Caenorhabditis elegans: one gene and its partners. The protein of the gene in region 2 interacts with the protein of the main gene of each other region in a pairwise test. Each region holds a gene or a part of one and is shown on either strand. Other genes may lie near its edges. The genes, in order: rcat-1, nhr-273, dac-1 and ceh-100.

The links.
Region 1: the proteins of nhr-273 (region 2) and rcat-1 interact in a two-hybrid assay, tested with the Caenorhabditis elegans proteins (one large-scale study listed by BioGRID).
Region 3: the proteins of nhr-273 (region 2) and dac-1 interact in a two-hybrid assay, tested with the Caenorhabditis elegans proteins (one large-scale study listed by BioGRID).
Region 4: the proteins of nhr-273 (region 2) and ceh-100 interact in a two-hybrid assay, tested with the Caenorhabditis elegans proteins (one large-scale study listed by BioGRID).

The regions. Positions count from the first base shown.
Region 1 is NC_003282.8:251,859-258,773, forward strand, and holds rcat-1 (C2H2-type domain-containing protein), read right to left. Parts: upstream 3,572-6,915; 5' UTR 3,569-3,571; coding exon 3,314-3,568; intron 3,261-3,313; coding exon 3,031-3,260; intron 2,982-3,030; coding exon 2,771-2,981; intron 2,728-2,770; coding exon 2,557-2,727; intron 2,507-2,556; coding exon 2,286-2,506; intron 2,238-2,285; coding exon 2,036-2,237; intron 1,987-2,035; coding exon 1,837-1,986; 3' UTR 1,761-1,836; downstream 1-1,760. Other genes in the region: grl-19 (Ground-like domain-containing protein), read right to left, coding at 112-297, 344-482, 528-676; R02D3.8 (Exonuclease domain-containing protein), read right to left, coding at 4,199-4,339, 4,387-4,492, 4,628-4,800, 4,845-5,074, 5,127-5,228, 5,283-5,331; dpy-9 (Nematode cuticle collagen N-terminal domain-containing protein), read right to left, coding at 5,645-5,806, 6,470-6,801, 6,848-6,915.
Region 2 is NC_003280.10:4,432,471-4,439,228, reverse strand, and holds nhr-273 (Nuclear Hormone Receptor family), read right to left. Parts: upstream 3,930-6,758; 5' UTR 3,851-3,929; coding exon 3,759-3,850; intron 3,715-3,758; coding exon 3,629-3,714; intron 3,391-3,628; coding exon 2,993-3,390; intron 2,948-2,992; coding exon 2,763-2,947; intron 2,668-2,762; coding exon 2,292-2,667; 3' UTR 2,231-2,291; downstream 1-2,230. Other genes in the region: Nuclear hormone receptor family member nhr-16, read right to left, coding at 88-173, 223-317; nhr-109 (NR LBD domain-containing protein), read right to left, coding at 4,082-4,454, 4,506-4,690, 5,009-5,376, 5,609-5,694, 5,735-5,826; toe-1 (HEAT repeat-containing protein 1 homolog), read right to left, coding at 6,732-6,758.
Region 3 is NC_003281.10:812,969-823,360, reverse strand, and holds dac-1 (Dachshund homolog dac-1), read right to left. Parts: upstream 7,217-10,392; 5' UTR 7,091-7,216; coding exon 7,042-7,090; intron 5,892-7,041; exon of another isoform or gene 5,800-5,891; intron 5,023-5,799; coding exon 4,745-5,022; intron 4,692-4,744; coding exon 4,590-4,691; intron 4,384-4,589; coding exon 4,277-4,383; intron 3,009-4,276; coding exon 2,923-3,008; intron 2,881-2,922; coding exon 2,766-2,880; intron 2,720-2,765; coding exon 2,599-2,719; intron 2,550-2,598; coding exon 2,357-2,549; intron 2,313-2,356; exon of another isoform or gene 2,292-2,312; intron 1,933-2,291; coding exon 1,721-1,932; 3' UTR 1,631-1,720; downstream 1-1,630. Other genes in the region: clec-149 (C-type lectin domain-containing protein), read right to left, coding at 27-139; Dauer larva development regulatory growth factor daf-7, read right to left, coding at 10,086-10,274, 10,325-10,392. UniProt on the Caenorhabditis elegans protein: Transcription factor. Plays a role in the thermotactic response.
Region 4 is NC_003280.10:12,599,463-12,607,080, reverse strand, and holds the start of ceh-100 (Homeobox domain-containing protein), read left to right. Parts: upstream 1-3,400; coding exon 3,401-3,652; intron 3,653-4,790; coding exon 4,791-4,982; intron 4,983-6,116; coding exon 6,117-6,290; intron 6,291-7,618. Other genes in the region: lips-15 (LIPaSe related), read right to left, coding at 90-167, 224-344, 396-869, 918-1,105.

The DNA of each region.
Region 1 (6,915 bases), on a different chromosome or scaffold from region 2:
TCACTTTTCACCAAACCCCATCGCGGGTGCTTCCATCAAGTCGACCGAATAAAATTTTTGACTTCATATATTAGAATATACATTATTATTGGGGCATATGAATCAACTGAATTAAAATTCAAAAACGTAACAACTCCTGTCAGCTGTCTTCTCCATACAGTATCTCTTCGCATCTGCTTGATATGAAACAGTAGAGTTTTGGAGACAAAATACAGTGAACATTGAGTCTGGGAATGCTGTGTCAAGTTCTTTGTAAATGAAATCTCGAGATGTCGACAATGATTTCGTTCGGAGATGCTGAAAAAGTGGTAGTTGCAATTAACTGTTTATGTTTCAAAACTACCTTTACTATTACATCCGAAAACTCTAAGCTGTTGCATTGATTATTCCATTCCTGATCATTATCTCTATGTGCCAAGTGTCCTTTGACATGTCCGATTTCTCTCTTTTTACGGCCTCCGCAGCCACAACCGCCACACACTCTGAAAATCTTGTACTTAAGTTTAATTTAATATATTGAAACTTACGGCGGTGGTGGTGGTGGTGCACAACAACCTCCTCCACCTCCACCTCCTCCACATCCACAACCACATCCATCATTAGGTGTGACTCTTGGAAAGAAAAATGCGAATGCAACGTGGCATATAGATAAAAATAAAAGTAACTTGAGAAACATTGGGTACTTTTGATGTTCTATTGCTGGATTCAAAAAGATTATATATGTCTCATAGCCTGGTGTTATACTCGTTTTTCTTGTTTGAGTTACTTGATCGCCTAATAGTTTCTTATCACAATTTGCTACAAGATAAAGATTTGTGGAAAAAGGAACATACGATAAAACTGGCATAAGCCGTCAATTGACACTTGCGATTATTCCATGTTAAGATACTGGATACTGGTTCACATCGAGTAACACACACGCATTATAACCGCATATTTTTAAGATAAATTAACAATTGTTTTATAATATTTGCACATTTTCCAGATACAGTGTGACCCATAATCATGCGGACAGTAGTTTGCGCTTATAAAATCAGATTTGAACATTCAAAATTATGCTAACAACACATATTTTATTCCATATTTTGTAAGGAGCAAAATGTAATGTCAACCTTTTAAAATATCCGATTATACAATGCTACAGGTCTGCTAACATGACATATCAGTTACATAAAAAGTAATGGGGTTATTCATGTGATATTGAAAAATACAAAATATATTTTTCTACATTTTTCGACAGGTGTTTTGTATTTTTCGACATCGGCTGCCGCCGGTTAGAGGAGTTTCAATAGAGTGATTTTTTACAATAAATTGCCCAATTTTTGCCAGTTTTTAATGGTTTTGATAGGTTTAACCTAGATTTTCTGAACGCTGCATAAATGAATTACCCGTTTTCAACAAATTTGGACAATATTCAAATAATATATGACTGCCCTTTTTTTGGGCAAGAAATTTTTTTTTTTGAAATTGTACAGAACCATTAGAATTTGAAAAAGGGAAACTTTTTAGTATTGGGAGATCAATTTTGAGTCCTCTAACTACAAAATTGCCCATTTTAGAGGAGTTTCAAAATTGTGCATTTTTGCCACTTTTGAATAGTTTTTGATGTGTTAAACCTAGATTTTCTGAATTCAGCATACATGAATTACCCGTTTTCAACAAAACCAGACAACTTTTTATTTTTGCCCAAATTTTTTTCAGCCATCAGCATACAGCGTTTATTGTCAGGCATTTGAGATATAACTCTTTTTCGATTTGAATTATCTAATAAACTTTCATGATATGAATAAATAACAAGAACAACATATTTAATATCGCAAAAATGTATTAAATCGACTAAAAATTTAAGCCAATTGTGATTTTTCCAGCATCGTTTGGTGGCATCGTATCCACATCAACTACGTTGATATATTCATCTTCTTCCGCAGTTTCTGAATCCACAACTTGTTCGCGATGTTTTGCAGAATTATTTTCTGAAGTAGTTGCCTGAAAATTCAATTTTTGAGTTTTCAGAACAATTTAACCGTCTGTAAACCTTTTCAATGTTATCAGGTTTGCTTTGCATCCTTGGAATTTTCGCCTTAACCTCATCATCATCTTCTTCTCTCGGTTCTTTCGTACTATCTGCAGCAACGGCTCGCCGCTCTTTCAAACTAATCGGAATCGCAGAAGATTTTGCAGTGTCCGTTAAAAAACCAAGCTTCTCCCGTTCTCTATTGTACCGAACTGTGATATTTCTGCAAAAAACATTATATTTGCCTACTGTTTCGGATGATTACCCTCACCTAATATCATTCTTTGAGATATATTTTAATTTACACTCGTAGTCCTTGTACTCATTCCGAATAAAGAAGAAGATCTGATCAGAAGTCCATCCCAAGTCAATTAGCTCACGAACATATTTTTCCTGAGATTCGGTGAGCCATAGAAGTTTGTGATCAAGATCATGTCCGATATGAGTAAAGCATCCAGTTGCCCAAGTTGAACCGTCCTCTTCTGTTGTGACCTGAAATATTTTTCAAAATTTTAAAACAAATTTTTTAAAAAATGTTTTACTTTCAAATATGCTGTACAAGTCTGGTCAATCTTCCTGGGATTCGATTTCCTGGATTTTGCGACACTTTGATACTTTCCGACACGATGACACCTATAAAGTGTTTCTCCAGCATGTCCTGTACGTTTTGTCAACGATGTACATGTGTCCTCCTGTCTCTGATCGAACCATTCCTAAAATTAGATTTTTGTCATTTTATCGAGAATATTTAAAAACCTTAAACTGGTCTCTTGATTGGAAAAACTCTCGTTCTAAATTAAACTTCTGATCATGGGACATGTGTTCTTGACGGCAATGCAGTAAAAATTCATCCAACGACTCTGATGTACTCGAACATTCGGGACATTTTAAATTACATCCACGATATTTTCCTGGTAGTTGCATTAACGAGAATTTTGAAGGTTTTTCAATAATGGTGGCAATTTGGCTGAAAATCATAGTTTTTGACAGAAACCTTTATTTTTTCTAATTCCAACCATTCCTGCGTTAAATGATGTGGCTGGATTGGACGAGAAGCTTGTCGATGTGGCGGAATATTCATCTCGAAACTATCTCCAGATGATGTGGATGGTTTTTGTGTAGATTCTTTAGTTTCATTGATATCATATTCATTGATTCCAACAACTTCTTCTTCTCCTTCAACAATCATTTCATCTATATAAACATCAAGATGCTCGTTGTCATGTTGCGGTTGTTCAGTGCACATCTGCAAGATCCAATTTTTATATTTAGTTTTCCAGAAGAATAGGGTTGTATTACCTTTTTATGCTGAACCAGATGCTTGACACTTCGAAATATCATCCTACAGTGGCAGCAAACAAACGATGTGCTAGATGCTCGGCTCTTTTTTTCAGATTTTATAGCGGCAATCAGTTCCTGACAATCTTCAGTTGTCCAATTATGAATCTGTGTCATGTGACGATAGATATTCTTTTGTAGACATGTTAGGGCGCATTCTGGGCATCGTATCTGATCAATAATGCAGGACTCGAGTTCGATAGGATTTGTGGTCATTTCCTGCAATTTTCAAACATTTCTATATCCGGAAGTGAAAAATACGTGTTTTCAAGGATTATCAGTTCCAGAAAAATTGGCATTCACTTTTGTGAATTTTTTTGCGTTAAATTCTAAAAGTTTATGGAAAATTGACAAAAATCAGAGGAAAATAGAAAATTAAAACGATTGGTAGGATTTACGCTCGTAAATCCTGTCACTTCGACGCGTCGCGTGTTCGCGTTGCGTGTCTGCAAGTCCGCTCCATTGCAGAGAACTTTAAGCGCGATGTTTGAAATAATATTTTTTGTGTCTTATAAAGCTTTATTAAATACAACTGAAGTTGCAATTTTTTTTCAGATTGGACCGAGAGAGAAAACTTTTTATGAATATTTTCAAGCGGTTAAAAAATCAATTTAAAAGGGAAGAAAGTGGCGAAACTTCTTCAGTGTGTAGACTTCCTCATGGCGGAGAGAATTGACAGATTAAAACTTCCAAAAAAATCTAATTTCTAGAAACGTATACGTGAAACTGTACTTGCAATTCGATATTCTCGCTATATTTTTTGCAAAGATTTATTGTTCTGAACGGAAAAATGGCGGAAAAGTCAATATTTCGTATTAATACATATTGCTGAAAAATCGACAAAAATTATTTCCTCGCATCTCTGAACACCCTCCGCGTCATTGTGTCTTTGGAGCCTGTGATTTGATAGTTGTGCCCGTTCATGCCCAAACACCGGACAATTTCGCAGATATTTGCCACGTCATCAATTCCACTGTGGTGGCGACCCTGGAAAATTAGAATTTTGCTGAGATTTCAGAATTTCAGTAGAAAACCTGATGTTGCAGCTTGTAGATGGCCAGAAGCTGGGCTATTCCTTTCGCGAAATGATTTGTGTGCTCCGCAGAAGCCTTTTTCACGTTGATCCATTGATTGAAGTACCTGAAGGACAATTTGTTTGGATTTGTGCGGTTCGTGGGACAAAAATGATTGTTTTTTAATGAAATTTCAGATTTTTAGAGTCAAATTGTACGAATTTTCAGCCTCAAATTGTCAGTTTTACTCTAAAAAATTTACTCTGGAATTCCAATATTCTTAAATTTCGCCTCATTCGGCAGCGCGACTTTCAGATCCCAATCTCCACAAGTGACGAATGCAAATTTGCCCTTTTCCAGTCGAGAATCCTCTTTCAGCCAGCTATCAAATTCCGATAAAACTTGTGGAAGCGTCGGTTTTTCGTCAACCATTTCCTGGAATTTTAGCATTTTTTCCTCGAAATTTTTGCATTAAAAACCTGAATAATTCCTGTTAAAGATGTGCAGAAAGATGTGAGCCTTGGACATTCCGTCGGCTTAACGTATTGATGAAAACGACGAATTTCACTCCAATCAGCCGTCGAGAGCTGGACCACTGGGAATTCGATGATTTCTTGGACTGGATGCATCGGCCCTTTCCAGTTATCTTGACACGTGGCTTCGAAGTCTAATACTAGAAGATAATCAAAGTGCTGGCTCATTTTTTGATCTGAAAAGATTAAAATAAAGTTATTTTGCCAAAAAGTAAGCAATCTCCCCACTTTTCGTATCTTTTTTCAGTGAAAAGTTTGGATATCTGGGTGGTTTCTTCACTTCCCGAGTCTTTACAAGCTTTGTGCTTTCCAAGAATGATGAGTAATGGGCTGAAATTAACTTTAATTATTTAAATTCGAAAAAAACTAGAAAAATGGAATTACCTACTGTGTCAAGTAATAATCTTGGTGTCCTCGTGAAGTTTATCGACATTTTCGAGTCTTAAATGATAAAAAATTATGAAATATTACGAAATTTGACTGGAAAACGTGTGAAAATCGAAAAATAAAATTATAGCAGATAAAATTAATCCATTGTCCGAGAGGAGTACACGGCCGTGTGGTCTAGAAACCTCAGCCCCTTGTCGATTTACGGGAAACAATTTCGATATTTTCGTAGATTAAAAAACAATTTTTTCGGCACAGCTGCCTGACAAGATTTATGATATTTCAAGTCTCACATTCGAATCATTCGGCGAAAAATAAGACGAAAAGAGAAACAATGAGTCAAAAATTATGCAAAATATTTAATGGATCCAAAGATATTGCCCATTTGGAGCCGATGGATACGACTCTGGTGCTGGACGGGTATAGTCTTGTGGAGGAGGTGGAGCTTTTCCTGGTGCCTCGGAAGGTGCTGGTGCTCTGTTTTGGCAGTGATGACACGTTCCTGGATTTCCTGGTTCTCCCTGAAATTATTGTTTCCGTTAAACACATGATTGGTTCAATAACAAATGTATTAATACTAAATCTAAAAGTTTTCAAATGTTTCAAAAGTTCTAGAAGCTTCCAGATTTTTTAAGAAAGTTATATGAGTTTTGATTTTTAATAGAATATTCTAGGACTTAAAAAAAAAGTAATTGAAGTCTCCAGATTTTTTTAGAATTTCTAGGAGCTTCCAGTTATTCTAGAAAAATTGAACTTCCCGCCAAAATTTTTTTTCTCAGAAATAGTGAATTCTCGCCAAAATTTTTCTCACTAAATTTGAATTGCCGTTTTCTAAGAACATTTAAATTCCTGCCGAATAACTCTACGGTACACCTACAGTAATCTTACAGTACCCTGACTTTATCCCCTTCCTAACTCCAAACCAATATCCTTTCAAAAGACGAAAATTGAATTTTCCCAAACCACAGTAATCCTGCAGTACTCCTACAGTATCCCTACAGTACTACTACGGTACCGTGACCATATCCTTCTACTAACTCCAAACCAATATCCCTTCAAAAGGCAAAGACACAACATTTTTCAAAATCCAGACTACAAACTACAAAGGAGACATACGTGCTATATTCTTTCATATATAAGTCATGACTAATTTCAAAATGTTCGAAAATATATCGGAAACATACCTTTGGTCCTTGTGGTCCTGGAAGTCCTGGGTTTCCAGCATCTCCACGTGCTCCAACGGCTCCTCGGACACCTGGTTGCCCACCAAGTCCTGGTTTACCATCGTGTCCTTTTCCGCCAGACAATCCACGTGGACCGACCTTTCCAGGTGGGCCAGTAGGACCTGGTGGTGCTCCATTCAATACTTTTCCACGATCGCCGGTTGGTCCCTTCTCTCCCGGTGATCCAGGTTCTCCACGTACTCCTGGCGGTCCTGGGGGTCCTGGACGATTGTCTTCACCGAGTCTCCCTGGTTTACCCTCAATTCCTGCTGGTCCACGTGGTCCTTTTGGTCCTGAATCAAATTTTTAAATTTATTTCCTGATGCAATTCAAATTTACCTGGAAGTCCTGGTGGTCCTGGAGCTCCAGTTGGACATTTCTGACATGCGTTGGTTCCTGGTGGTGGA
Region 2 (6,758 bases):
GCAGGCGGTAGGTAAGCATGTAGGTGTTCAGGTGCAAAATAGGCACAGAGGCACAAGACGTGCCTGTGTGCCACTTCATGAACTTACTAATTGTAACATCACAATCATTATTTCCCTGGCAGGAATATGTTTTCCTGTTTGAAACAGTTCGACGGAAGAAAGCGGCGCAGGCTCTGAAACAACTTTGTTTAATTTTAATTAATGATTGTTGTTAAAAATTACCTGCAAGCTTCTGCTCCAAAGTGAAATCCTTCTGCACTTTCTTGACATATTGCACATTTTAAAAATACCTTGTCTTTAAATCGAGGTCCACCCATTTTTTTGTAGAAATCGATAATAATTTATCAAATGGAAAAAAAAGAAAACTGATAAAAGTCAGAGTATGGAGAAATAGACAGAGGTGGAGACAAGAGAAATAGAGACAAGGAAAAACTAGACCACATTGACTACAAACTAAAACATAGGGAAAATTGATAGTACAGTTGGATAGTACAGCCGTAGTATCACACGTGTCAGACAAGGATGCACTGGAGTTGATGGCGGCTTTCGATCTAAAAATGAAATAACTTCCAAAACTCTCTAAACTGAGTATTTTCAAACTGGCGTATCTTGAAAAATACACATCTGGAAAACAAATGTCCAATCAACAAAATGATCAGAAATATTTTTTCTTTTTAATTCAATAATTTGTATGTCAACACACCAATTTTTTGTTGAGTTACACAGAGTCAAAGCCATTTTTCCAAAATTCATAGAAAATTTTGAGAACTCTTTTGTTGTACCCTTTATAACTCAACATTCATTGCATTTCAAAAGATAAATTTTGTTAAATAGTGAGTGAAAAAATGTTTTCCACATTTTATCAGTTTTAAGTTTTTTGATATTTTCATGTTCCGCCAAGTTATAGACCGTTTTCTGAAAAAATCCATTTTCCGCCATAAAAATCTTCATATATAACGTATCGACTTGAAATTTTGAAAAATGCTCACTTTTTTGAGGTCTCTACAATGTCCTAAAAAATCTTTCAAAAAATCCTGCCCATCTCCAAAATCGTCCTCTGCTCCAAAATAAGAAATGGGACTTTTGCTTTTCGAAAAATGGGCGAAAAAATCAAATTGCGATTTTTGGGTCGAAAAAAATATTTTTAGAATGCTGAGAACACGCTATTTACGAATTTCATATTCATTTTAGGTGAATTCTTCTTTAAAATGACCTAAAAATTAAACAAAAAGAACATAATTTTAATTCTCACGTAAAAATTTTTGGTAACTTGCTCAGTGCTTCAATTGTTTTATTGTAAATAAAAATATTTCACGTGAGAATTAAAATTATGTTCTTTTTGTTTAATTTTTAGGTCATTTTAAACAAGAATTCACCTAAAATGAACATGAAATTCGTAAATAGCGTGTTCTCAGCATTCTAAAAATATTTTTTTCGACTCAAAAATCGCAATTTGATTTTTTGGCCCATTTTTCGAAAAGCAAAAGTCCCATTTCATTTTTCGGAGCAAAGGACGATTTTGGAGATGGACAGTGTTTTTTGAAAGATTTTTTAGGACATTGTAGAGACCTCAAAAAAATGATCATTTCTCAAAATTTCAAGCCGATACGTTGTATATGAAGAGTTTTATGGCGGAAATTTGATTTTTTTGAAAAACGGTCTGTAACTTGACAATACATAAAAATATCAAAAAACAAAACTGATAAAATGTGGAAAAATATTTTTCATTTACTATTTAACAAAATTTATCTTTTGAAATTCAATGAATGTTGAGTTATAAAGGATACAATAAAAGAGTTCTCAAAATTTTTTGTGAATTTTGGAAAAATGGCTTTGACTCTGTGTAACTCAACAAATAGTTGGTGTATTCAAATAATAATTAATGTAATAAAAATAAAAAATATTTCTTTTTTTTGAGATACGCCAGTTTGAAGATACTCAGTTTAGCGAGTTTAAGCGGTTATTTGGTCCACTGAACATCTTTCCCTATACTCTCATTTTTTCAGAGAATTTTTTCAAATTTTCGATTTTCAGCTCGATTTAAATACATTCAATGTCAATGGAGAATTGGTAAAATCTGACTATATATATGCCTACCTTCTACCTACCTACCATCTATTTTCTGTACTCAGAAGCAAAGTACACTAAAGTGAGTTGAAACAAATTTTCACGTCTATTTTGGCTTTAGGCACTCCTTCAGGTAGGCGTAGGCCGTCTTTTAAGCAGATTGTCAATATATTATACATTTATCGTAAAATGAGTAAAAATTAGTTAAAACTTAAAATATGATATCAATTATAATTTCCCATCACGAGATCATAAAATTCATCGGACGGCGCATACAAGTTGAAAACTTTTGTCATTTCCAAATCATCCTGTATCCTACGAACACTTTTATGCACATCTGGTAGAATATTCACAAGAGTTCCAATTCTCACAAGAGGCTCTTCGACTTTTTTTACATTCCTCATATAAAAATCGAGTTCTTTCAATACTTGAGTTTTGATCTTATCGCCAATTTTAATGCATTCATCGCTCAATTCGATAAGTCCAGTATCCCAAAGTAACATTGTGAAGAGAGCAAGATATTCTATTATATCCATTTGAAGAGTCATCATTGGCAAGATCACTGACTTTTTGAAGCGCTCATAGGATGGCTTGAAGAGTCTAAATTTTTTAGATTTGTTGTACATAACTGATTTTTTCAGGAATAGTTGGAATATTCTAACGACATATTCCAGATCGAGTTTTTTCCTACTCACCTATTAATATCTTCACTGGAAATTTGCTTATCAGAATCTGTACCATTGTAAAATGAATTCAAATCATTTGTGTCAATATAGTCCCCAGATGGGAATGTTATTGCATCCGGTGTATTGTTCAAATGACTCGAAAATCCACTTTCCATAATGAAAAATGCGGTGTACGAGTTGTGGAACAAAATTCTCTGAAAAAAACAATCCACTTTAACTGCTAAAACCTAAAAACCTACCTTCTGATCAATCGGCAAGTTGGAAAATTCATCAAAGCTCCATGAGACCCAATCAGAAGCCAACGTGACATCCTTCATACCCTGCTTCACCGCTTCTTTGTAATTTACTGCCTTTGGAGTTCTCTTTTCAAATACAGTTTTATCTTCAGCCTTGTGAAGCGCTATCCGAGCATTGCACATTGTTTGGTAACTTGCTCGGATTTTTGAGAGAATTGGCATTTGACCCGTAAGTGGTAGTTCGAGCATCAATGAGTTGGACGTTCGGGGGCTCGAGAGTAAATCAATTGAAACTTCTTTGCGGTTTTTGGGTAGTCTTGGTTTCTGTTGAACTCCGACAGGATTCATTCCAACCTCAATGCATTTGACATAACGGCACGCACGGCACATACATCGAATATCTGAATTTTATTTATATTAAATTTTTAATAATTAAACTAATCCAAAGTTTGGTCCAAACAACTTCAAAAAAACGACCGTGATTTTTTTCAGGCGGTCCCTTTTTTCCCAAAAAATATGTTACATTTTCTTTTGCTTTTACAAAGGTACAACATGCCTGTGTAAGGAATTGATTAATATGTTATTTTTTGTACTTTAAAAATTAAATGTTAATATTTACAGAAGTTTAAAAATACTCACTAACAGTAACATCGCAATCGTTATTCCCTTGACACAAATATGTTTTACTCTGGGACACACTTCGACGGAAAAATGCTGCGCAAGCTCTGAAATCTAGGTTTTAAAGTCTGACCTATAAATAAATAAGTACCTGCAAGCTTCTGCTCCAAAGTGGAACCCATCTCCAGGTTCTCGGCAAATTGAGCATTTCGATTGATCCTTATCTTTTTGTCGTGGTCCCATTCTAGCAATTTAATTTTTTTCTTTTAAATTAATCAATAGTTTATGAACACACAAAGTGCAGAATAATGATTGATAATGGAGATAGAAAGATAAAATATGGTTTTCTGTTGATAAATAGTGAGAGGCGGAAAAGAAAAAAATTACGAGGCAATATTGCATTCATTTGAAACGTATTCCTTTGTAAGTTGAATTAGTAAAACAAATAAAACAAGAATTTTGTTTCTTTTATTCTCAGAAATTGCCAGTAACAAGATCAAAAAACTCATTGGGCGCCGAAAAAATATTAAAGACTTTAGTCATCTCCATGTCATCCTGTATTCTCCGTACGCTTTTATGAACTGCTGGAAGTAAGTTGACAATTGTCCCTATTCTAACTGATGGCTCTGCGACTTTCTTCACATTTGTCAAATAGAAATCCAGCTCCTTGAATACTTCTGCTTTGACTTTTGTGCCAATTTCCAGACATTCATCGGTGATCTCAACAAGGCCAGTATCCCAGTGGAGAAGTGTAAAAAGTGTGAGAAATTCATAGATGTCAACTTGAAGATTCATCATTGGGAGGAGCAAAGATCTCTTGTAATTGTCGTAGAACGGCTTGAACAAGCTGAAAATTTGAAAAAAAAAACGTTAAGTTTAACCATCTCTTTTCTAATACTTTTCAATATCTTCCGTGCTGATTTTTTTTTCAAAATTTGTAGAATTATAGTATCGCTCCAAGTTTTTCATGTCACAATAGTCTCCAGATGGGAAAATGACAGAGTCCGGCATATTGTTGATATGACTTAAAAATGCAGTTTCCATCATGAAAAATGGAATGTAGGAGTTGCGGAACAAGATATTCTGCAAAAAAGGAAAATTCAAAAATAGAAGTATTTTTAACATGTCTAGTTTTAGCCTCATTATTGTTCAATTTGCTCAAAAATGTTTTGACATTTTACGTAGGCATATGAAATAGGTAGACAAGCAGGTAGGTACGGCTGTAAGGCACCGCTATATTTAGATCTGCTGCATGCCTTAGCAAATGTCCTACCTACATGTCTGCCACATTTCTGAGGGCCTACCTACGCACCTTTCGCCTACCTACATGGCTACCTTTTGCCTCAAGGTATAGGGAAACATTTGATGTGTTAAAATAGCCATTTAAGTTTTCCGACTCACTTTCTGATCAGCGGATAACGTTCGAAACTCATCAAAACAAGAGGACACCCATTCAGGCATCAGCGTATAATCCTTCATTCCCTGCTGAACTGATTCTTTATAATTTATTTCTTTTGGAATCTTCTCCTCAAATACATTTTCTCCAACTTCATTGTGCAATGCTTTCCTGGCATTTCTCATATTTTCATAGTTCAATTTCATTTTTGAAAGTATTGGCATTCGACTGAACTCGTCATGATTTGATGAACTGGGAGAGATGAGTTCCTTTGATTTCCGGAAACTACCAGGCTTCTGCCGAACTCCTACAGGGTTCATTCCAACTTCGATACATTTGGTAAGTCGACATGCCCGGCACATGCATCTGATGTCTAAACAAATCAAGATAGATAATTTCAATTGGGCTTAGAGAACAAGCCGACTTGCCTGTCTGCCTGGCTTAGGCCTAGGCTTAGAGGCTTAGACTGAGCCTTATGTAGGCTTGTAAGCCCGACCTTAGTGAAAATGTTTTATTTTTTTGAAGTTTTTTTTTACAGAATGCCTTTGAGTTTATAACATAGTCCAAAATTTTGGCTCAAAACAGGTCAATTAATTTTTACTCACTAACAGTAACATCACAATCGTTATTTCCGCTACATGTATATAATTTATTTTCTGAAATACTTCTCCGGAAGAATGCAGCACATGCTCTGAAATTGTGCGATGTCTTGTATACAATTTAAATTTTACCTGCAAGCTTCTGCTCCAAAGTGAAAACCATCTCCAGATTCTTGACAAATCGAACATTTCGATTGATTTTCCCCTTTTGATCGAGGCCCCATCACGGGAAATTGGAGAAAATGGATGAGAAAAAGAAATAGAGAAAAGAGGAATTGATGATAAGAATGATAATGAGAGAGTGTATGTAGTTCTTGTAGTTGCCCAAGAGAGAGGTGGAAAACAAAAAAATTAATAGAGAAATTTTACACTTCCGGTAAAATTGGATTTGAAAATTTATTAACTTCTTCGAAAGCTTTTTTCCAGAAAATTGTTCCAAATAATTTTTTGGTCAGTTGGTTATAAATTTGTCAAATTAATTTATTCAGTTTTTTTTAAAATTTGTTTTGAAAAGTAGGATATATAATTTTCAAGTTTTCCCCCTTTTATATACACACAGTTGTATAAAACTCATAATTTATTCAAAAATTTCAATCCTTACATTACTACAAAGTTTCTGAAAGACATTTCAAAAAAAATTATTTACAAGAGATTTATGAATTTTCAAAATTTCGAAAATCCATCTATTTTTGTCTATAAATGGTAGTTTTCATTAAATAATAAAATACGCACTAAAAGGTAGGGCTGAAAATGTACTATTTCTGTAACTACGTGAAGCATCTTGTACCTACTAGAATATTGTTGGTATATTCTGAAAGAGCTTAAAAATTACTACAAAGTTTCTGAAAGACTGTTCAAAAAAAGTTACTTTGAAGAGATTTATGAATTTTCAAAGTTTGGAAAATCCATCTATTTTTGCCTACATATATTAGAATTATTCTTATCCTACTAGGGCAAGGCTGCCCACTAATGAATAATATGGATTTTTTCAAATCCTCGTAAGATGCCAATTTCTTATAATTGATTTTTATTGAAACATCAAAATTTAAAAAAATTTTAAAAACCAAAACAGCTAGAAAAAAAGACACAAAACCAACAATTAAAACAACAAAAAAACAAATATTTTGATTTAAGCCGATGAACCGCCACTCCAGAA
Region 3 (10,392 bases), on a different chromosome or scaffold from region 2:
ACTTTTTAAAAATGAATACAACTCACCCAAAGCCCTCGCAGAGGTGCTTGTTTCCCGGGGAAAAGGTAGGCAGAGATGATCCTGCTGGTTGATAGAGTATGTTTAGTAATACCGGTAATAAAATTAGTGAAGCTGTCATCTGAAATTTCAATATATAAAATAATGCCACATTTCAACTTTTCGACCTAAAAATGTTTCAGTGCAATTTAGCACTACTTTCGAAGTTTTGAAGACATTCAATATCCAAGGAAATTTTAAAAAACAGGTTTTTGAAAAGAGTTTTAGATTGTCAACCTACTTGTGAGCACTTTTTAGAAATCGAAAGTCTAAATGTTTTTGGTGCATAAGAATCTTGAAATTAGTGCAAAGATACTATGAAAAAATGTTAAAACAATTTGTGTTATGCCGCTTAAAATTTTGCTTCCTACCGTTTTAAAATAAATACTTAATTTTAAAAAATCTAAAACACAAAAAGAAAATGGCAGTTGCTGTGCGTAAAAGCATCTTAGAGACAAGAAACAAAAAGTACACATTGGGTAGAAAGTTTATTGGGTATCATAAAGAAACAAGCCCTCTTCCATTTCTCCCATAAATCAGGTCAATGGGACATGAGGACACCCGGAGCAAATGGAAAGGAAAACTTTGAGCAAATGATGGATCCAGGAGAAAAGAGAAGTGTGGATTGAGAGAAGGGGAAAATTTGGGAAGATATAAAACAGTTGGCATTTCTTTTTTCCATCACGCTTTTTGATATCTTTCTGGTGGAAAAATAATGAAAAAAAAACGATATTGTTGTGGTCAAGCAATCCTGTTGGACTTTGTGCACAAGACACGTTGTGATCGAAACAAATTTTGTTGATTTGAAAAGTTTCCGATCCTTTCTGATATAGCTAACGAGTACTTAGAGAGGTCCATTTCAGTTTTTATCTGGAATTTTTTCACAACAAGGTTCATATACGAATTACACAAGCCAATTCTTATCGCTTTCAAGTAGTCAAAATAAATCATATTTGGTTTTCAGAAAAAAATTCAACGAATTTTAACACTTTAGAGGTAATCAGTAATAGTCGAATTTTGATGCATTCAAATTTTGACCAGATTCATTCTGAAAGTGCGGAAAATCAGTGTTATTGTTGCAGGGGAGCAACAATAGTCAAACATACACTGTTAACTTTCCGACGCACTCTAGATATCCCATCAGCCGTCTTAAAAAACCAAAGTTCGCCACTTGTGATCCATCTTGTCAATGCTTATCCCAACACAACAAATATGATGAATTATTTCCTGTGTCAGTCAGTGAAGCGCCCCGCAGATTCCGATCATTCAATATGTGGGGAGGCTGGGGGAGGATAATCCATCATCTCATGCCCGCAAAAAATCAAAATTTTGATTTCTGGATCTTTTAAAAATCTCGAAAGAAGTTTACCACTGTGGAGTCCTCCTGGTTGCTGAAAAAATCCTCCTGGTTGTTGAAAAATATGCTTAAAAAATTCAGGCTGGCGCGGGTGCCGTTGCGGCGACCTCATGGGAGTCTTACGAAAAACGGTTGGAATCGGAAGATGAAAGAATCGGAATACGCGAAAATGTAATTTCTATTGTCTTCCATTTTTTGTCAACAAAATCGCAATTTCATATGACAGTTTATTTAGTGCTTTTTTCTACACAAAAATACTTAGTTCGTAATTCTGAAAAAAATTGAATTGATTTCAAAAAAAAAGCTTCAAAGTTCCACAGAATTTCCGTCCGAAGACTGCTCCTCCTTTTCCTTATATCTTCTCAGGTCCGCATTCGCCAGCAATAGTTGTTTTTTGACATATTTGTAGCGTTTTTCGAAAGCCGTGCATTTCTTGTTCTGAGTTTCGAGCTTTTTGCGCAAATCGCGTTCTTCTTGCACAATCTTGTGAAAACTCTCTCGAAGAACTTGTATTTCGCCTGAAAACTTATTTTTTGAATTATTTTTGCTACGTAGTTTTTTTTTGTTGTTATATCAATCAAAAATTCGCCCTATCCGTTCAAAACATATTCACTTATTGTAAGAAAAAACTGATATCATTCATTAAAATGTTTCAAAATAATATTGGTTTCATTTGGCTTCCCTTAATAAGTAAAATACCGGATTAGACTTGAAATACATTTCAAAAGAGTGGAATTTCAGAAAAAGAGAGATTTGTCTGAAACCTTATTCACGATTAGTCATGGAAGGCATTGGAGATCAAAAAAGTAGGATTAGTAAAAATACTTTACAGTTATCAGGTCTTGAGAAATAAGTGACAAGAATAGTTTTAAAATGTTTGGAAATGTAGGACCCTTGCAATGAACCATGTGTTATTCAAGAAGAATATAGTCCAAAACTCACTTCGCTCTTTCCATAGCTCTTCTCTTTCATGCTTGAACTGTTGGCTAGCAAGTTCAATTAAGGACATTACTTTATTCATCATAGAAGCTTCATCGTTTTTGCCACTACTACTACTACTCCCAGCCTCCATTGACATTGACAATGAATTTGAGTTGGAGCCACCACGATCACTAACAGACGTGTTTGGTGAGGACTAAAATGTTTAAGGTTGGATGCAAACAAACTATAAATGTGTGCCTCACATCTTCTTTTCTCATATTTTCTAAAGAATCTGAGTCATTCTCAGAATTTCCTCCACTTTTACTTAGATTCAATGGCGTTATATCATCAGCGTCTCTCTGATTTTGATCATCATCATCTGCTCTAAACATTGCTGAAGTTATGAACAATAGAAAATGACTCGACTAACCTCTCAAAACTATTTTTCGTCTTCTGAGAAAGCGCAACAAAGTGTTGCATCAAAATTTGTTGAGGCGTCATTTGCGGTTGCATTAGTTGGTTGAATACGGGCCCATTCACAGGCTCTAAAAAATTGAATTAATCGAGTATATCTGTGAAAAGTTTACCTGAATCCGTTTTATCTTTCTTAATTATTACTGCGCCGTTATTCCAATCATCAAAGCTTCTTTTTGATGGGCGCCCAGGGCGGGTACTGAAAGCGAAGGATTAGTAATATTTAGATGTACTTCTTAAATTTAATGATTTTTTTGAAATTCAGGAGCAATGTTTTCGGGACATTAATTTCAACTATTAGTGCCTATTGAATCTCTGAACTAATGCTCTAATGATTTGCTAATATATTTACTAGAGCTATTTTTTCCCAAAACTACGTACTCAACAGTAGCAGTCAATCATTTAAAGTTTGATCCTTTATGCTAAACTTCTACGAAAACCGGGTTAACCTTGGTAAATCTTCATCCAGGAGGGACGCTTTTTGCAATAGGGCTCCCATCAGAGGTGGGCGGATATTTTTTTCGGATATTTTCTAATAATGAATTTATCAATAAGTATTGATGTAGTTATTCTGGAAGAAATGTATCCGAACAAAAGAGTAACTATTAAGCAACATTTTAATATGATAAAACCTAGGAAAATTCTACAAGTTTTCTGTATAAACGATATGCAAGTCCATTATCCGATATCCGTAATATCCGATATCCGATGTTGCTCGGCTAATAAGTTTTAAGGTCTCGGTAAGGAAAACTTGTAGAATTTTTCTAGGTTTTATCATATTAAAATGTTGCTTAATAGGCCCCCCCCCCCCCCCCACTCTTTGGTTCGGATACATTTCTTCCAGAATAACTACATCAATATTAATTGATAAATTCATTATTAGAAAATATCCGAAAAAATATCTGCCCACCTCTGGCTCCCATGAGGTCGCCGCCACGTCGCCTGCGCCAGCCTCACGGCGTCAATCACGCCTCATTTATCCGAATGTATAGTGCCGCGCTGAACCCCGAATGTGTCGGCCGCTTCCAAATAATTAGCTTTTCGCACACCGTTGTGCACACACAGCGGCGTCGACGTGAGGCCCGCATTTCAGCTGGGATCCCTAATGTAAGTGATAAGGAAACAATTCTCGTGAAACACCTTAGAAATCACCTGTCAGAAGTTGTTTCTTCGGTAGGAGGTTTAAAACTCTCCATATCATACTCTTCATAAAAAACCAATCTTCTACCAACTGGAAAATCCATTTTTTTCAAAGTAAAATAACTTGTCGTAGTTTCTTCTGTAGCTTGGAAAATAGGAAGTGAAAAAACCTCTATCTTATGAAGCTAAGCGCATAGTAATAGCGTAATAGCATTCGCCTGACTTGACAGAGTTATCAGAAATCAAAATTTCCAAGCCAAGTTTGATGCTACTTTGGAAATATGACACTTTCATCACCTGATGATCCCAAAAAGTAAAAACGCCCACCAAGTGCTTGTACAATCGTCATAGAGTTTCTCGAAATCCGAAGTCTTGAGTAGTTTACATCGGTTGACACCCGGCTGGATAGCTCCAAGTGATCGAAGGGCGCGCACCTAAAAGTCGTGGATGGTGGAGATTTTATAGAAGGATAACGATAAAATATCCGTATTTGCATGCGGATTATGAGAGATTTTTATTTTCTTTAAAAAAGAGATTAAACATCAGATTCTTTTACGGGTTATTTAATTGGTTTAGAATATTGTCAGTCAGGTGAATTTTCAAATTATTCTAAAATTTGTTAGTGGACAAGAATTTTTACCTGTTCTACATTGCAAACCATCGGATGAATGTACAACCGTTTGAGTTTAGTGTATACCGTATGAAGTCCTCCTACCATATTTTTGAGAAATACCTCGTACACCTAAACTTCTCATGTCTTCTAGACTATTTCGTTTTCACAAAAAAAGCTCATACCTGAGGCAAACAAATCATTTCTTTGCCGTTTATGTCAAAAGCGGCGACGTTATGCCCGCGGAACTTGATCAACTTGGCTGCAACATTACAAGAACCATTCAGTGAAGATGAAGAGCCAGAAGAGGACAACGAGGATTCACCAGATGAATCTGTAGTGTCACGTGGTGAGGTCGAGGATTCTTGATACTCATATGGAGATAGAAAATTGGACGAAGAAGTGTTAGATGAGGAATTGTTCGATGAGGAAGAAGAAGAAGATGGGTTGATCACGAATCCGCCTGGAATTTTTAATTTTACACTCTTTCTGTTCTTTTTGGAAACGCTTGGCATACTACATTTTATGGCTCAGCTTAAAGGTGAAGTAGCGCCATTGGGGATTTTGTCTAAATACATTTATAATGATCCAGAACGACTTAATATAATAATAATACATTCCAAAAAGTTTTAGATTTTTTATAATTTCCGGACAAATTTTTGCAAAGTGCCAAAAAAAAAAAGAGCTTTTAAGGAGATCCAAAGCAATGTCGCATGTTCCGACCCCTACAATGTTTTAATAAAAATAATAAAAACAAAATTGCAGTATAAAAAAGTAGGAAAAAAAATTTTTTGGTCGACTTCCAAAATTATGAGTGGCAAAAACTGAGTAATTGTCACTTTTTGACAGTAAATAAAAAAATTTCAAAAAATTTTTGAAAAGTTTTTTTTTTATTATGATATTCTGTCATTTTGGCACCTATGAGTACTTTTTAACACTTCCCCCACTGGTGCTACTCCATCTTCAAATATTCTGCAAGCTCTAATCGCTGTTGATGCATCTTAATAACCCAAATACTACTTTTTCGGCAATTTTAAGAGTTTTCACTCAATCCTACCAAAAAATTTTTAACTAACCGAATTGCTTATCTGCCTAATATAGTAAACACCTCTAAAACATTGAAATTGTTTTTCAAAAAAATTCCAAAAAAATGGCGATAAGTTTAGTTTCGCCGCTTAAACTATCACTACAACTCTCAAATCTGAAACAACATGCGTTATTAGACCATGTGTACATCAACCTCTTTCATCGATATCCATATAATCAAATACTGATAATAGTTGTAAGCAATAGGTAGAATTTGTATGTTTGATGTTGATGTGAAATGGAATAGGAATTGAAGTGAGCGCGAAAATAAGGTATCCTCATTTTTCTCTGGCACAACCCCGTTATCCCACCGACAAATCCGGATTACCATCCGAAAATCCTCACACAGGTAATGTACGGGTGATTTTCTAATATTTCTAAGTGCTCCTACACATAAATATTTACCGATTTTTCGTTTTTGATAGAGTAAGCATGTATTAGATGACGCTCATGTGGGGAATAAATAGGCAAAAAAAGAACTGACGTACTTATTGATGACATACCTAGTCTATTTCGTAATGGTGATCAACCCTATTGTTCCAGAATTTCTACGTCACAATTTCATTTGAAATTAAGTTTAAAGTCAGCTTCGATTATTGATTCCGAGCTTTCTGGGAAAAATATCTTCAAGAAAATGACATCACTTTTTAGAGAGCAATGAAAAATTGATATACATACGTATCAGGGGAGAGCAGCAAGTGCCGTTCGGCAAATTTTTTTGTTTTTTAATTTTCAATTCCGGCAACTTCCAAAAACAATGTGCAAAGCTATAATTTGCCGAACATTTACGGCAATTGCCGTTTTTTCGGAAAAATTCGGCAAATCGGAAAATAGCCGGTTTGCACGATTTGCCGGAAATTTTCAATCCCGGCAATTTACCGATTTGCCGGAAATTTCAATTCCGGCAATTTGCCGACTTGCCGGAAAGAATTGCACAGTATCTCCTTGCACGTAAAAATGATTTTCGAATGACTTGTATGCTCTAATGCGGTGTGAGAGCAATAGATGCTGCAAGACTATTGAGATAATACAATAGTTTGTTACTTTAAAGGAGTAACTTACTCTACAACGCTTACTTACATAATCCACAAAGAAAATTAGAAAATTAGTATGTTTTAAAAGATCGTCCCAAGGCGTCCGCTACTCAAATTCATGTTTCAGGTTATAACAAGTTTCTTAAAACGAGAAAAAAAAGTCAAAAACTTTTTGACGCGAAAAATGTAGTTCTATATCAAAGAAAAATCTCTCTTCTTTATTTTGAATTGGAGTCAGAATCAGTTAGATATTCTAAAGTTTATTTAAAAAAATTTCTTTCAAAAAAGTCTAGCTTAAAACGTCAGAAATTGTCACGGAATCAAAAGGGCTCATTTTTTAACGGTTTGAAATTTTCAAATACCTGCAGCAAGTTTTTGAAAATATCCGCCAAGTTGGCTGAGTTCCTGCATTGCTGCCAGCGAATTCATTCGAATGGTTCAAGAAGACACACGAAACTCTTCACATTCAGATGAAAGAAATTCGCAACTGAATGGTGAAATGTGGTTGCCATCATTTCGCAGATTAGGATCTTGAAGACAGGTGAAGACGAAGACGAAGAACTGAATAGGAGTTCTTCTGTTCATTACATTACAGGACATTCCACCTTGAGACAAACTTAGTTTATTGCTATTGCTATTGAATGAAGGAGGAAAAGAAAAAGGAGGAAAGGAATGAGAAAATCGGCATGAATGGATTTTTTTCTAATTGATTTGTAACCTGAAAATAGATTTTGTGGAGAAGTTTGTCTTATACGAGAAATTTGAATATTTACCTTCTCGTCATCAATTTCAGTCAGAGTAAAATTTAAAAAAAACATTTAATTTTAATTTTAATTATTGTTTTGACTATGAAATGTCCCTGTGGTGGATTTTGCTATGAAAAGTATTTGAAATTAGTGCCAGTGGGCGGTGGGTGGCAATTGCCGTTCGACAATTTTTTTGTCAACAAATCCGGCAAATCGGCAAATTGGCGGTTCGCCGATTTATCGGAAATTTTCATTTTTGGCGTATTCCCAAATTGCCTTTCGTCGAATATCAGCTTTGCCGGAAATGTTTAGAGGAATTTTTATAAGACGGAAACACTTGATTGCCTTTTTGAAATTTTTTCCCGTTTTCTTCAATATTTTCATAGAATTTGCTTACTTTTCAAAATAGATGTAGGAACATTTGTAGGACGCGTTCAATTTTGCCAATTGAAGTAGAAATTCAGAAATTTCCAAAAATCAATTTGCCGATTTGCCGGGAATTTTCAATTCCGGCAATGTGCCGTTTTTTAGAAAATTTTAAGTTTCTCCAGCTGAAAAGAAATTTTTCATTAAAATCTTACTGTACTCTTTTCTCTTGAAAAACATCCAGCTCCCCCTTTAAATTTGGAACTTTTTATACCATTCCTCTATATAATTATTTTCTCTCGCCAAGAAAAAAATATTTCGAAAAATGGCTTCATTTAATCGCCAAAAAGTCAAAAATTCAAAGTCAGAAAAATTTAAATTTCGGGAAAAAATAATTTAAAATTTGAAAATGTTGATAATTGAAGCCATAAAACAAGAGATCAAAATCCATTTTTGTAGCTGAACTTTTGCTCACTCACACACACACAATGATTCAGAGGCTTTCCAATTTTTTTTGGGTATTTATAGACTTGCTGCTGCTCTGAAGCTACTAAACGTGTAGCCTACATCTGCATTGATATAATCATGGCTGAATGAGTGAAACGTAATTTGAGCTCTAGACGCATGAGAAATTCATTTTTTATAGTGGTGCAAGTTCTTGAGGCAAATTAGAGCTGATACAGTACGCTTATTTGTGAAAATTATAAAAAATATCAATTTAGTTGGCAATCTTTATAAAACAGTGATCATCCGGATAAATTCTTATTAAAACGCAATTAGACTAGGGCTTTCATGAAGTCGCCGCATGTATCCGAATGTATAGTGCGGCGGGGGATGTTTTTCGGAAGATAGTAACAAAAACTGTATAACCATATTACTCAGGAGTCAAATATGTACCGCACAAGCTTTTTCTTACAATTAGAAGTTGAGACAAATTTCAGATCAGTGATAAAATTGTTTTGTGTCAGACTTGTCCGGAACTAATTTTTTTTTGCTAAACAATCCGAATTGAGAATAAACACTGAAAGGTCATAGGAAATCATAGGAAATCAAAATCATTTTTTACATTTTAGTACATAATCAAAAATTTTTGGTAAGAACCAAACATTCTCCAAAACATCTTTTGAGGCAAGAATCTGGAGCCAATGAAGATTTAAATCTCAATCTAGATTTGCAACATGGCAACGATTTCAAGTAGAAAAGTGATTATGTGGTTCAACAACTGGATAATCCAAATGGTTAAATCAGTTGTGATTATTTTCAAAACTTAATTTCGGGAAGTTCCTAATAGTTTTTCGGAACAGTTCAATACCTTTTTGTATTCATTCTATCATTCACCGAAAAAACGAACTAAACGAACAACTTAAGATCCTTATCTACTTGTCTCTTTACATTAAATTCTTCTCCTTGCTAATGCAACTTTTTCAAACGATTGTTGGGAATGGTTTCTAATGTCATGTTCTAGAGAACAGGGAAATATAAACTTTACTGTCGTATTTGTAGGAATGAAATTCAATGAAAACAGTTGTCTTGTTTAGCAAAGTGGCAACAGAACTGTCCAGACCTGACACCAAGTGTATGGAGATTTTTGTTAAATCGTACAACCGTGGTAAATATGAGAACTTTAAAGCTCATTGTTACCGTTCAAGCAATTTCTCAGAAAACTATATAAAATGCTGCAGAACGTTTTTTGCAAGTATTTTGCCCATTTTTTCTTAATTTTTAAGTAAAAAATTAAGCTCGAGGCGCCTCTGGTGGCCATTTTTAGAGTTTAAAACTCTAAAGAAAATGTGTAACAGCACTCAATAATTTATTCCTCAATCACAGTGTTTTATAACATATTCTTGTCAATGATGATGAAAAAGTGCGTGGTTTGTTGAAATTGAATCTCAGAAAACACAACTACGCACGCACAGACACACATAAAAATGGGAGAAGGAGTCGTTGCCTATCACATTGTTGCTTTCGGGAGGGGAACAACATTTGTCGAAGGAGGTAGTGGAAGGATCCGAGGTACGAAAAGAGAGAGCTGACAAAGGATATATCAGATGGATGGTGAATGGTGAACACACGATTCGGAAATAATTATTTCGGCGAGCATTCTGGGATGAGATCGAGGGAAAGGAGACCGACAGAAGAGAAGCTCCTCGTGATTTGAGGATGAACGGGATGGAGGGAAGGATCTACAACTAAGGAGAGGATATGTGACTACGGGGTTGAAATCATGAATTTTGATTCATTAAGAAGAAACAAATCGGTGACTACTTAACATTTGTGACAATCGGAAGTGGAATTTATGAGCAACCGCATTTCTTGGCGATCATTCCGTTGACATTGGCGATTGAGACGCGTCCGTCGCGGTTGACATAGATCAGCTTGATGTAGTCGTACTCGGTTGGATGGCAGCAGTATCCGATCTCAGGATTGGAGACTTTGTGAGCTGCGCGCATGATCTTGCTGTGTCCGGTTTCCGCCAAGTTGAACTGAAATATTTTTTCATTTTGGAAACGTTATGAGACAACAAGAAACGTACGTGGTGTGCGTTATAGTGGCAATCCCCGCGGCACATGTAGGCATTGTAACGTGGTGGGGCCACGATCC
Region 4 (7,618 bases), 8.2 Mb from region 2:
TTTATCAGGTCACAATTTTGCTGAGGCCCCCATTAGGATAATTGGATATAGAGTAGAGAATGCAGAAAAAATTGTGATCAGGAAGACTCTTAAAATGCGTGATTAGTGAGAAGATCTGCGGTGGCGCCAACTGTGTTAGCGATGATAGCGTCGTGGTTTCCGGGAACCTGGAAAATCAAGAATTTAGCTTCCTCCCTACTTCCTTTAAATTAGGTTCACTGACATTATCCTTTTCGGCCGTTGCTCCATCAATTCTAGAAACACGTCCACAAACGGTGTTAAATCCGACCTTGTCATCGCTAGGTCCATAGATTGAGAAGATGTATTGTCCCTCGTAAGCTGAGCTAAAATATTTGATATTTCAAAAAATAAAACCAGTTACAAGTAAAACTTACACACTACGGATGTCTGTAAGAAAATCTGATGAACATTTGAGTCCATTTTTCGTGTTACATGTTGGCACAACCAGTGGAGCAAAAAGAATGTCACAGAGTGATGTACCACGATTAGCACCAGCCACAGAAATATAGGTTTCTATGATACTAGTCAGTGGAGCTCCCAATTGAACAGTATTCTCAGCGCATTTTCCACCAAGGATGGCTTTTCTGGCAATTGGGGATCCCATGGAGTAACCAATGACATTTACTTTTTGCTGAGTGAAGGCGTTCACAGCAATGATCATATTTCTGATCTGTTGCACATATTCACAAAGCATTTTTACATTTGTAGCCGTAGTAACTCCTGCGTCACCGTATGTGGTAGCATATACAGTCTCCTCTGACCATCCATTTGCTCTGAAGTATGCTGCTTGCGGAGCAAAGGTACCAGCGCTGTTGGTAGTTCCATGAACTAGGATGACAGGTGTTCGGCTTAACAATATCAGAATATCTATAGTTATTCATGGAAAATTAACTTACGTAGTGGGACTGAGACCATCATGAAGTCCCCCTCCATAACTTCCAGCTGCTCCAAGATCAGTTCTAGCCAGTGCATTCAAGGTTGCTGACCCATAAGTTGTTTGAATGAATGCACGGAAACTTGGGGAAAAATCCGCGGTGGCGGTGCTCAGGAGAGCAGCGACTAGAAGGACAGTGGAGACAGCCATGATGGAGTGAAGATTGTGGAGTTAGGGGTTCTCTTTTATACGGGGAAGTACCTAGTTTATCGTTTTTGAAATTATGTTCCGTTTTTCGTGAGATTAGCATAAAATTGGAATAAATTTTAACAAAGTCTAGGATTATGTTCTGAAATGTTTTAGAGGAAGTCTGAGGTTCACATAGCCATTTTTCCGTGAATATAGTGTCAAATAGTTCATTCAATTCTATGATCAGAAAGAAAAATCTACGATTAGGCTTGCCTGAACTCAGGAATCTTAATTGCAGTCAGAAGTTGTATCCTTCCATCTATTGTACCGGGAAATCCTATTGTATCCTATTAATATATTGCAACAAGAACATTTTTTATTGTATATTCTGTAAAAATTACATCCATATAAGAAATAAGTCTGCGGAATAATTGATGGAATGATGTGTTGTGTCTGGAACGTCAAAAAACTGTTTAACGTCTGTCTCACAGTTTTTCGTCAAATGAAATCACTGTATCGCTACTTCAGGTACTGAGCAATTTTTTTTTAACTTTTAAGGTACCTATCATGATTGAATTAGTATCAAGGTGTCAAACTCTCCTCGAGACAGGGAGTATTTTAATCGGTCTCGGATTACGAAAATATTTTTAACGAGCTTAAACTAAATTTCTTCAGAGATCACGTCTTAAAATGTTTTGGGAAACAAGACGCGTTGCCTGTCAAGCTCAATGTTCAGGCTTGGAACTGACGGCAGTTGCCGGAATCACCATCGTCAATTCTTGGATTAGTGCACTATTTTGGAGTGTCCAGACTCATCGGTATCTTCGAAGATCTCAAAGGTTTATTTATTCAACTTTGTTCTAGTCTGTTTTCTCTCCCAAATAATCCTATTAAACGGTATATTTAACAGACATGAATAATCGCATTTCCGAATAAGTGTTGTTTCAAATGATTTATTCAATTCAAAGATCAAAAAGAGTGATTTCTGAGTAGTCACCTGGTTCTGGCCTTCCTCATTGAATTTCTCGCGCTCCATTGACAATCGCCCGCCGGACAACGCGTACTCCACACGGACAAATACATTTAGTTTTACAACTAAGATCGAGCCGCGACGCGACACGCAACGCGCCGTAAAACTACCACAGATATGGCTGAGCCAAAATGGCCTAGTTCGGCAAACTCTTCCATTTCAATTTCTGAGCGAAGCCAGAAATCCGTGAGTAGTCTTGCCTTTAACACGATGAGGAAAGACAACTGGAATGTTAATAATTATGTGAAAAAATACGATTAACGAACGCAAAAACTTACGATTTGTGCGCCAAAAGTACGGTATCAGGTCTCGACACGACACAATCTTTGTCAAATGCAAAAATGGTGTGCGCCTTTAATTTCAAGGACATTCGAAATCGGGAAATGTAAAAAGAAGGGGGAAGACACACAATGGGAAATGCCACTCTTCGGCCGCTTCGCTTCTCCCGTTTTCTTTTCCCTCTCTCTCATTTCCACACATTTCGGGTGGAAATTTTCGTGCGCTCTCTTTTTACATCTCACGATGCAGTTTCTCATGATTTTATGATTCCATTGGTATTTCAGAAGTTTAAATTTCCGCGCAAGTCTCTATGGAAATCGCGCTCCATTGAGAATTGAGAAACGTAGATTTTCCGGTTTTCTGAATTGAAATTCAAATAAAAAGAAGGAAAATTATTGAATTTAATTGTTAGTTTTCCAAAAAATATTTTTTCAAGCATTTTTACCCTCAAAATCCAGGGTTTTCCTTAATTTCCATAGAATTCCTTAAAAAATCTGAATCTCCACTCGAGACCCATTGCATCATACCAGTGATGCGCCTTTAAAGTACTGTAGGCATCTAAATTGTTCTTTTTTTGCAAAATTTTGGGAATTATTTATCAGTTTTCGTTCAAATTTATCGATTTTTAGTCATTTTTTCAGATTAAAAATGTTGAAAAATAAATTAAATTCGATTTTTTCACTAATTTAAACAATTTTTCTGCGAGAAAACGATTACAATTTCCAATTTTCATTGGTCTTCGCGTTCCCTGTTCACAGAGACGCAGAGAGACGGCAAATGATATAGTACAGAGACCGCGGAGACGGAGAGAGTGAGAGGAAATTTTGCGTATTCCATTTGAACGGTTTATCGATTATTTTTACGTAGATTTTTGGATTTTTTTGAGTTTTTGTGGAATTCTGTGTGAAAAATTGCGAAATAAATTATATTCAAAACGATTTTTCGCGGTTTTTTCGAATTTGAAACTCAAATTTCCTGAATTTTCTTGAATTTTCCACAAATTTCAGATGTTTCACAATCGTCCCAGCACTTCGGGACCACCCCCACAAAAACGAAAATATGTGAGAAAACAGCTTCCACAACCACCGCAATTCGTGTCCTCGGCCGTCACTTCTGGACCGATGCATCATCGAATGCATGAGCAACACCAGCAGCTCGACGATGAACGAGAATTTCTACGCGATCATCTTGCACGAAATGATCCGTTTTTTCCGAGAGAACTGGAGCCGCAGCAGGACGTCGTCGAGCAGCAGCTACAAGTGGGGGATTTGGGGAACTTGGAAAAATGGAAATACTGAAAAAATCGGAAAATTTGGCCCAAAAATTGGCAGATTTTGGGGATTTTGTGGAATTTGTGGAATTCCACGCAATAAATATATTTTAAAAATATTTAAATTCTGAATTTTCTCGCTCGAAAATTGATTTTTTTGAGTTATAAACGACAAAAATCAATTTTTCGTCGATTTTTTTCAAATTTTATCTGAAAAAACAAAGATTTTTAGACCACGATTTTCTTCAATTTCACATATTTTTAGTTTAAAAAATTCTCCAACGAAAAAAATTCAAATAGTGCGTTTTTTCTGGATTTTTCATGAAAATTTAATTTGAAAAATCGCGAAAAATCAAAAAATTGGCCTACAAATCGATAAATTAACATTTTTGCGAAAAAAAAAATGCCTGAAATTTGGCAAAATCAGAGAAAAACATTGAAAAATGCTTTTAAAAAAAGGTATTTTATAGGTAATTTCGGTCCGTTTTCCACTTTTTAACACAAAATTATCAATTTTAAGCCAATTTTCCCAAATTTTCCATCAAAAAAAAATCACTTCTAACCCTTCAAAAAGTTCCAGGACGCTGATTGATAAATTCCCTGGTTTTTCTGGATTTTTCTTCAAAATTTAATTTGAAAAATCATAAAATTGGCCTAAAAATCGATAAATTAACATTTTTACAGCAAAAAAATAACCAAAATACCTGAAATTTGACAGAAAATGTCAGAAAAAAGAGTTAAAAAATTGAAAATTCTTGAAATTTAGTCGGAAAATTCGATAAAAAACCTCCTTTTTTTGCAAAATTTTCAAGAAAAAAAACTTAAAAAATTAGAAAAAAAAGTATTTTATAAGTCATTTCAGTCCGTTTAAGCCAATTTTCCCAGATTTTCTTTTAAAAAAATTATAAAATTAGCTTAAAAATCGATAAATTAACATTTTTGCAGCAAAAAAAAACAAAATGCCTGAAATTTGACAGAAAATGTCAGAAAAAAGAGCAAAAAAATTAAAAAATCTTGAAATTTAGTCGGAAAACTCGGTTTCGGTCCGTTTTCCACATTTTAACCCAAAATTATCGATTCTAAGCCAAATTTTCCACCACAAAAATCACTTCTAACCCTCCAAAAAGTTCCAGGACGCTGATTGGACCCCGTCCCCGGCAAAGAAAAAAGGAGCTCGTGCTGGAATTCCAATTGGATCACATCCACCATGGCCAGAATATATTACTCGTGTGCTTGACGACGTTTTCATCAATTGTCAATTTATTAATGAGGAAACGAAAAAGGAATTGGCCAAGGAACTCGATTTGACCACCACGCAGGTGTGCTGGAAATTGGAAAATTTGGAGAAAATCCGATAAAAATGAAGAAAACCCCGATTTTTTGAAGAAACAACCGGCAAATTTTTGATAAAATTCTGAGAAAAACCGAGTTTTTTCCTACAAAATTTCCAACTTTTTTCACTGAAAACGTTCAATTTTCTCATTTTTCAGCGCCAAAACGGCTTTCTAAATAGTTATTTTCTCATCGAAAAGCCCTCAAAAAATATGAAAAATTCACAAAAAATCACGATTTTGTATGAAATTTCGAGTTTTTTAGTCCAAAAACGTAAAATTTCCAGATTTTCACCTAAAATTTCTATTTTTCACGAAAAATGTTCAATTTTCACATTTTTTCTCATTAAAAATCCCTAAAAAACCTGAAAAATTTACAGAAAATCACGATTTTCTATGAAATTTCGAGATTTTTAGTCCAAAAAATGTAGAATTTCCAACTTTTTCCACTGAAAACGTTCAATTTTCTCATTTTTCAGCGCCAAAATGCCCTTCTAAAGGGTTTTTCTCATCGAAAAACCCTAAAAATCTGAAAAATTCACAGAAAATGTTGAATTTCACTGAAATTTCGAGATTTTTAATCCAAAAAACGTAGAATTTCCAGATTTTCACCCAAAATTTCCAAATTTTTTCACGAGAAACGTTCAATTTTTACATTTTTTCATGTTTTTCTCATCGATAAGCCCTGAAAAATTCACAGAAAATGTTGAATTTTACTGACATTTCACGATTTTTAGTCCAAAAAACGTAAAATTTCCAGATTTTCACCCAAAATTTCTATTTTTTCACGAAAAATGTTCAATTTTCACATTTTTTCATGTTTTTCTCATCGATAAGCCCTAAAAATCTGAAAAATTCACAGAAAATGTTGAATTTCACTGAAATTTCGAGTTTTTTAATCCAAAAAATGTAGAATTTCCAGATTTTCACCCAAAATTTCCAATTTTTTCCACGAAAAATGTTCAATTTTCACATTTTTCTCATTAAAAAGCCCTAAAAAATCTGAAAAATTCACAAAAAAAAATTACGATTTTCTATGAAATTTCGAGATTTTCACTCCAAAAAACGCCGCCGAATTTCCAGATTTTCACCCAAAATTTCTAATTTTTTTCTAATTTTCAGGTGAAAGATTGGTTCAACAGACGTCGCCGACATGCACTTGAAGCTCATCAAAAGAACAGTGTCGAACTTCCAGAACAAATGAGAATTCTCAATGAAGCTTACGAAAGAAATCCAATTTTGGATACTGATACAAAGAATCGACTTTTGGATGTTACCAAGTTGTCGGCTAATTTGGTACAAATTTTTATTGGAATTAACTATACAAATGGATAGAAAATTGATTTTTTCAGTGAAAAACTGAATCTTTTAGTAAAAAATCGATTTTTTCAGGAAAAAACCGGCTTTTCAGTAAAAAAAAACGTAGTTTTCTGGTAACAACCTTTTTTTTCAATTAAAAAAATCCGTTTTTTCTACTTTTTTGCATTAAAAAACTGAATTTTCCAGTAAAAACTGATTTTTAGAAGTGAGAAACGCAGATTTTTCTAATGGAAATTGATTTTTTTTTTGTAGAAAAAAGCAAAGTTGTGCATTAAAAATCGATTTTGTCAAGTTTTTTTTGATGTAAAACGCAGATTTTTCAGTTGAAAACAGATTTTTCTAGTAAAAAAAGAAGATTTTTTCAATATAAACTTTTTTCCGGTAAAAACAGTGTTTTTTCAGTAAAAACTGTTTTTTTTTCAGCTAAAACTGATTTTTTCCATTAAAAACGAGATTTTTTTCTCAAAAAATTGCCCAAATGTTCAAAAAATTGATATTACCAGTACAGAGAGTGTAGATAGTTAGAGAGTGACAGACATCCGGGACCCAATGGGGCGGGGCGCGCGGAAGAGACGGTTTTTTGTCGATTTACGAAATGATGACAACGAGGAGAACTTCGTAAATCGACACAAATCGTCTCTTCCGCGCGCCCCACCCCATTGGGTCCCGGATGTCTGTCACTCTCTAACTATCTACACTCTCTGTACCGGTAATATTTTCGCTCTGAAAATGCTGAAAACTGTTCGAAATTTTCTATAAACTTGGAAAACGCTAAAAATGTTTAAAATATAATTTTTATACTAAAAAAGCCACAGAAAATCTAATTTTCACTCGTTTAAAACTCAATTTCCCCCCGAAAAAACTCAAAAAATAAGCCAAAATATTACAAAATGAATATTTCCCCAAAAAAAAATTTGAAAATTGTACCAAATGCTCTATAAACCTTTAAATTCGTTTCAAAAAAGTATAAAAATGCAATTTTTACACCAAAAAAAAGCCATGGAAAATCGAATTTTCACTCAATTAAAGGTGGTGTAGTCGAATTTTTAAAAATTGCTTTATTAGACTCAAAATTGTCTGATAACACCGAATTTCATAATGAAAATTGTTGAAAACTTCTCAAAAAAAAGTTATGACGGCTCGAAAAATGGCCTAAAATTAGTTAAAATTTGAAATTTGACTTGTCAGCGCTGTCAGCTGGAAACTAATTTTTTTGAAATCACCGTCAAATTTTGAGTATACAGTTTTTTTTCTTGCGTTTTTAACTCGATTTAGGTATTTTAAAGTCGATGGACGGCGAGATT